2 linked regions of the Callithrix jacchus genome follow. The protein of the gene in region 2 interacts with the protein of the main gene of each other region in a pairwise test. Links are inferred from orthologs where the notes say so. Each region holds a gene or a part of one and is shown on either strand. Other genes may lie near its edges.

Region 1 (3,474 bases), on a different chromosome or scaffold from region 2:
GAGCTGAGATCACGCCACTGCACTCCAGTGAGACTTTGTCTCAAGAAAAAAGAAAATGCTACTTCTTGCTACTTCTGGTCTGAGAGCCAATCTTTTGGCTTCTTGATGATCCTACTGCCAGTGGTCACCTGCTCTGTAATAAGCCTCTGTGAGCTGGGTACCTTTTGATTGTGTGTGTGTGTGTGTGTGTGTGTGTGTGCTTTGAACAGCTAAGAACTTAGAGCTGCTGCCATTTCTGTCAGTGGTTATTAATTCTGGCCTGACAAAAGCTACTTTCATCTTCATGCTGTCTGCATTTAGGATTACAGGTTTTGGTGAGGATTTAGAAAATTAGGGTACTTGAGAAATTAGGGCAGCTGGGGAAGCTTGCTCAAGCCCCAGACACTAATTTCCCTGAGACCAGATCACCCCCAGTGTGGCAGCTCAGGGTTTTTTGTTTGACCTCAGGTGAAGTTCTTTGTGGAGCTCATCAAGAGTGAACCACATACATTTTTTTCCAGAATGTGGTAGTGTCTCAGACTTCTAAATGATTTCTTTACATGCTGAAAAAGAAGAATTTATTCATCTAGGCAATTCCACCCTGAACACACCCTATCTCAGAAGCTAAGGCCTGGTTAGTACTTGGATGGGAGACCCCCTGTAAATACCAGGTGCCAGAGGCTTAAAACGAAGAAAAGAATAGCTCATTCATGATCCTTCAATCCTCAGTCCCAGTCAAGTGGGTATCTTCAGTGAATTAATTTTTTTTCTAGGGCTGCAGAGTTTAGTTGGTTTGCCCATATTACTATCAAAGTTACAGGCTATATGCATTATCAGGTAGCTTCTACACCTGCCACATCTGGGCTGCCACCTTTCAGAAGTTGATAGTCCAGGAAACATATGGACCAGTTCAAATTCATCACCAACACAGGGAAAGTGCTCCAGTATTTTTAATCCATCTTTCCTTGCCTCGTGTAAGTGTAAAAGGCAGTGGAGTAAGGGTATTGTGATCCTATTAATTGGATTTCCGGTTATGCTTTAGTCTATAACCTTGAAAAGAATCATTAGCTTTGGTTCTGTCTTAAAAGGAATGAAAATTATTGCTTACTGTATCCCTTCTTACATGGGGAAGGTCAGGAGGAATATGCTGGCAATGAATTTATAATGGAAGAAGTCTTAACATTTGTCTTCCATACTCCTTTCAGAATCGGCTGCAGTCTCAAAGGTCACTGCTTCTACAAGGCACTGAAAGCCTGAACCGGGCCACCCAAAGTATTGAACGTTCTCATCGGATTGCCACGGAGACTGACCAGATTGGTTCAGAAATCATAGAAGAGCTGGGGGAACAACGAGACCAGTTAGAACGCACAAAGAATAGAGTAAGGCTGGGCAGAAAGGGAAAGGGGCAAGTATGGGGAAATTGAGAGGCCACTGCACCTGGAAACCATACTAAGACCAAAAGCTACGGCAGTTCTGAATTCAGGGAATAGTCTTTTTTAGGTTCTTATGCTTCTCTCAATTTTTATTTATTTATTTATTTATTTATATTTTTTGAGATGGAGTCTTGCTTTGTTGCCCAGGCTGGAGTGCAGTGGTGTGCTCCGCTCACTGCAACCTCTGCATCCTGGGTTCAAGCGATTCTCCTGCCTCACCCTCCCGAGTAGCTGGGATTACAGGCATGTGCCACCACACCCAGCCAAGTTTTGTATTTTTAGTAGTGATGGCATTTCACCATGTTGGCCTGGCTGATCTTGAACTCCTGATCTCAGGTGATCCACCTGGCTCAGCCTCCCACAGTGCTAGGATTACAGGCATGAGCCGCTGTACGCGGCTGCTTTTCTCAATTTTTAAGTTTGCTTGGCTGAGAGATCTCTGTTAGAAGTAATTTTACTCCTAAGATTTAGACATCATTGGAAATTTTTGCTTCAATGAAAGGAAAAAATGACAGAAGGAACCTGATTTATGCACTTAAAAGATTACAGGAATTAAAAGCTGCCAATATGAGATTTTAATTTCTCATACATCTAGTACAGTATTCTGCTATTCTTATGAAAACATCATCTACTTACACCCTGTCATTTAGAGTTGAGGCTATTTTCCAGATTTCCTAAAATAGTACCACTGTTTATAGGCAGTTTATAGATTATATAAATTATGGTTCAATTCTAGACTATAACTCTTTACTATTATATAATACTTAAAAAAAAAAAAAAGCAATAGGGAAAAAAATCTCTAAGGATTATCCAGTAAGGTAAGCTGGATCATTGTGGAAAGAAAACAAATATTTAAACCAAGTGACGACTGTATCAGGGAACTCTAGTTTGCTGTCACTCTGAGAGACTCCGAAAAAGAACTCATTTATTTTTTCCTTTCCATAAATAGTTAACCTTCATAGGAATTTTTTAGTTTTTTAGAGACAGGGTCTTGGTCTATCACCCAGGCTGTAGTGCAGCAGTGCAATTATAGCTTACGGTACCTTCAAACTCCTGGGCTCAAGTGATCCTTGTGTGTAGCTGGGACTACAGGCATGTGCCACTGTGCCTGGCTAATTGTAATTTTTTGTAAAGACCAGGTCTCACTGTGTTGGTGAGGTTGCTCTTGAATTCCTGGGCTCAAGTAATCATTCCACTTTGGCCTCCCAAAACTCTGGGATTACAGCCACTGTGCCTGGCTGGAATTTTAAATTAGTACAGTTTGCCAATAGAATGTGTATTCTTAATAGCAGAAGGCAAATCAGATTGAAAAACATACTGGGACCAAGATTTGGACAGGAAAATACTAGCTCAGTGTGAAGATTTGAGTAGATCTTAATAGCTAGAATTCTCCATTAAGTCAGAGTAATGCCCTTCCCTCTTCAGTGAAAATTCACAATAAAGTACTAAATTCAAGGCAAGCTATGAAGAATATAATTTGCTTACAGATCATAGGGGTTCTGGTTTTTGAACATACCAAGTAGATTGGTTGAATTTAAAAGCCCAGGAGGCCAGGCTTACACCTATAATCCTAGTACTTTGGGAGGCTGAGGTGGGAGGATGGCTTGAGCCCAGGAGTTTGAAACCAGCCTGGGCAACATAGTGAAACCCCATCTCTACTAAAAATCAAAAAAAGTAGGGTGTGGTGGTACACAACTGTGATCCCAGCTACTTGGGAGACTGAGCTGGGAGTGTTACTTGAATCTGGGAGGTTGAGGCCGCAGTGAGCTGCGACTGCAGCACTGCACTCCAGCCTGAGTGATGGAGCAAGACCCTGTCTCAAATAAATAAAAGCCAAGGAATAAGCTGAGAGATCAGCTTACCAAGGCCACTGGGGAATGGGAACAGATGGCAGGTGGACATCTGCTGGAGGTGAAATATCCTCCAGCTGTCCAGATTAGTAGCAGGCAGTTGAAAGTTCCATGGAGGTTAATTCCTTTCACAATTCAATGTAACTGTCTCTTAAGAGGGTAAAGAAAAAAGATAACGAGATCCCAAAAGCAGTAACACACTAACCTACAAA
Region 2 (3,749 bases):
CTACTAAAAATAAAAAATTAGCTGGGTGTGGTAGCACACACCTGTGGTCCCACTACTCAGGAGGCTGAGGCAGGAGGATGGCTTGAGCCTGAGAGGTCAAAGCTGTAGTGAGCCATGATCTTGCCACTATACTCCAACCTGGGCAATAAAGAAAGAACCTGTCTTTAAACAAAACTTTCTTATCCTGAACCAACAGCTGCCTCCTTATAATTTCTATCCATTAGACTTACCTAGTATTTCTGGGGCCAAATAGAATGAACTGTGTTAGCTATTTTAAGGCACTTAACATTTCCTCAGAGCTTAAAAAAAAGAAAAAAAAACTTACACAAAATTTTTAACATCATCTTAGGATAGCCTGCATCCTCTTAATATCTGTCAAAGATGGTCTCAAAATTGGACATTAAGATGTGCTCTACCCAGTATAAAGGAAAGCAAGAGAGTCACTTATAGAGGCAATAACTCTATTGCTACAGTCTCCAAATTCCATTCACTTTCCTAGTAGCCACATCACACTGCCGATTCATCTTGTACTTTGAAGAAATTAAAATTCTGCACTTTGGTAGCTCCAGGTGGGTAGATCACTTGAGCCCAGGAGTTCAAGACCAGCCTGGCAACAAGGTAAAACTCCATCTCTACTAAAAATACCAGAAAAGATTTTGCTGAGCAGGGTAGTATGCACCTGTAGTCTCAGCTACTTGGGAGGCTGAGGTGGGAGAATCACCTAAGCCCAGAAAGTCAAAGCTGCAGTTAGCCATGATCACACCACTGTACTTCAGCCTGGGCAACAGAGCAAGACCCTGTCAAAAAGAAAAAATTCCTGTAACCTTTTTATTAATGAGCACTGATTTCATCATAGTATCACAGTACTCTGCTTGTGAAGTTGCTGCTCATTGCTTAAAACTTAAAACTCAGGATTTTACATTTATTCATGTCCTGCTTAGTCCACCCCTGTTGAACTCTAAACATTTTTACCATTCAGCAAGAGGTAGACTACTATCAAGCCAATGAAGTGTCAAGGCCCTTCACTTACACAGTCCTTTCCAAGGCCCAATACTAAGTTACATTGATGATTTTTTTTTTAGGCAGAACACCAAAATTTGTATAAGTAAGCCCAACAAATACGAGTATCTGCCCTTGCATCTAGCACATTAGGTACCTGCCCCAACTTCTTATTAGCAACAAATCTGCTAATTTTCTCAACTCAATCCTTTTTTAAAGTTATTGATATAAAGTTAACAAAACTGGCCTACTTGGGACTCTTACTCCCTTTCAGCCTTTGCTCAACCAATGAGAGTCTTACCTTAGTGAGAGGAAGTGTCTCAGGCAGAATAAGCCCCTCCTTCTCCAATAGACTCTTCTCCTCATCTGTCAGTACCAACCTAACAGTCTCCTAGGGTAACAAGAAAGTGGGCAGCAGTTGCATGGGGATGTCAGAGAGGAATGGGGAATCCTGCCCCACCTGGGGAATGTGAGAGTAATCTTCCTGAAAATCAAGTCAAGTACCTGCTCTGCCATTTCCTCCACATGCTGTGTAGTCATCTGGGTCTCCTCTTTTCCAAAGCTCTCACTCTCTGCAAAAGGGAAAGTATGAATAGCCAGGCCCATGAATCCTCTCCTCCCAGCAAACTTACTTCAGACTCACCTAGATCAACAGAGACAGCTTCCTGTGGGAGGGAGTAGGTGTGGTCGTGGTGGACAAGGCAGGGGTTGGAGGAGCTGAGAACGTTCAACGATGCTGGGGGACTCAGCAGTGAGCTCAGCAAATCATCTAACTCCCAGTCACTCGGTACCTGCGCAGGGTTCCAATGAACAGGCCTTGACCTATAACCATCACCTGACCTCATGGACATCCCACGCTTTCCCCAGTCGCAATCCCAACCCACCTCAGAAAGCAGCAGCTCCCAGTCCAGTGGGGCCCTGATGGCCTCGTGCGCCGTCCCCAAATCTCCACTTGCCTCTAGCAGGAAGCCCAGCAGGTCTTCGTCACCAGGATCCAATTCTAGCTCCATTTGAGACATCTACGTAAAGGGTGGGCCACGGGGCCCCAACGTCCGAAGCCCAGACACGAGTCCCAGATCAGCTGTCGGCCTTTGGCACTTTTCCACCGCCCCTCTACGGCCGGGCTTCCCCGCCGGGGCTATCCGTAGCCCTCTCCGGACCCACCTCCCAGGCTCAATTCTCCTCAGCCTCCAACACAGCGAAAGTGACGCACCCGGCCCCGTGGCATTCTGGGACTTGGAGTTCTCTCCAACTGGAAGGCGGCCTGGGTGCCGCGCCACGTCCCAAGGGCTATGCAAATACAGGGGACGGCCCTGCCGTCGCCTCGCACCCCGAGGGCGGAGGCTCCGGGGCTCCGGCTCCGCCTTCTCCCCCAGGCTGGAAAAATTAAGAGTTCAGGCCTAAAAGGAAGCTCAGGCGTCATCCGGGCGTCGTCTCAGCATTGCGCCGTACCCTCGCTTCCTGCCGGGGAGTGGCTGCCGGGCTTCGGCGGCTCCTGAGCATCGAGACCGGGGCCAGAGCAGCTTCCTGCCGGCCCCACGACCATAGAGCGCGAGCCCAGGGCGCCGCCCGCGGGTGGGGGACGTTCCTGGGACGGAAGTGGCCGAGGGAGTGTCGAAGGGAAGGCGAGGCCGGAGCCAGAGGGCGACCCGAGAAGCCTCAGGGCTGCGGGCCGGCGGGCAGGGCGCAGAGCCAGGCAGCGCAGGTAGGTTGGACCGGACCGGGCTGGGCCGGGCGGGGGCCTTAGGGTGGGGCCGCGGAACCTGGCCCTGGTGGCGGGCAGGCGGGGCCCTGCCTCTCCTTCGTGTCCGGTTCGGGTCCTATTAGTAGGAGAGGTCAGGGTCCAGCGCATCTCGACCTGGGCTTGGCGTGAAGTAGGCCGTCTTAGGGGAGACAGACCTTTCCTCGGAGCAGTCCTCTGCCTGGGATAGGCGTTGGGGAGCGTGAGGAGTCGGGTGGCAGCGGGGCGCAGGGCGGGGACGGGCTTTGGTGTTAGCTGATAGCGGGCATGTGGGTAGGAAAGCTTTGGGTGAGTTGCAGATTAGGTGGGATCGGTTTAGGAATGAGGGGTCGCTGTAGGAGTTAAAAGCTGGAGTTAAAACTTGAGTCAGTGTGAGTCAGGTCCGTTTTGGATAGGTAAGGTTTAGATTAAGGTCATTATTTTGTTTACTGGCATGGCCAGCATTCGTCATAATTTGAGTTCAGGATCGGGTTAAGGGTCAACAACAGGAATCAGGTTAGAAATCTGTTTGGGGGATTAAAGAACGTTGGCATGCTCACTATTAAGAATAAACAGTGAAAGGGTGAGTTAGGAATCAGTTTACAAATGAACTTTAGGCTTTGGGGTCAACATTTAGGGTTAACATCAGGGGATTTGGTGCTAAAGGTAAAACGTAGATCAGTGTTAGGGTTCAGGGATTGAATATGGGTCTTTGCTAGGAAAGAGATGAATGTCCAAGCCAGTACTGGGAATCAGAAAACAAATTAGAGGTGGGGTTAGTATTAGGAATTTGAGGCAGCTTTAGGGGTTGTGGTTTGAGGCTAGCATAGTTGACCTTGAGCAGATAAAATTTAAGAGGTTGGCAGTAGGTAAATGCCCTTCTTTTGTAGGGAAGTTCTTTATTCCTATGTAGTTACAGGGGCTTCTTTACACCCAGAGAGATGACGAACTAATTTCAGGGTAGCGTTCTGGCTTCAGCTAGAATTGTAGGCATCTGGGATTCCAGCTTCTGTATTCCATTCTTTAAGTT

What was found. The genes of interacting proteins can lie anywhere in the genome.
Region 1: the proteins of CREB3 (region 2) and VTI1B interact in a two-hybrid assay, tested with the Homo sapiens proteins (2 studies listed by BioGRID and IntAct). The two-hybrid records come from large-scale screens. The link is inferred for Callithrix jacchus from reciprocal best matches to the Homo sapiens genes CREB3 and VTI1B.

The regions. Positions count from the first base shown.
Region 1 is NC_133509.1:102,653,926-102,657,399, reverse strand, and holds part of VTI1B (vesicle transport through interaction with t-SNAREs homolog 1B), read left to right. Parts: intron 1-1,184; coding exon 1,185-1,358; intron 1,359-3,474. UniProt on the Homo sapiens protein: V-SNARE that mediates vesicle transport pathways through interactions with t-SNAREs on the target membrane. These interactions are proposed to mediate aspects of the specificity of vesicle trafficking and to promote fusion of the lipid bilayers.
Region 2 is NC_133502.1:142,636,666-142,640,414, reverse strand, and holds the start of CREB3 (cyclic AMP-responsive element-binding protein 3), read right to left. Parts: upstream 2,209-3,749; 5' UTR 2,019-2,208; coding exon 1,884-2,018; intron 1,791-1,883; coding exon 1,643-1,790; intron 1,572-1,642; coding exon 1,504-1,571; intron 1,391-1,503; coding exon 1,301-1,390; intron 1-1,300. UniProt on the Homo sapiens protein: Endoplasmic reticulum (ER)-bound sequence-specific transcription factor that directly binds DNA and activates transcription. Plays a role in the unfolded protein response (UPR), promoting cell survival versus ER stress-induced apoptotic cell death.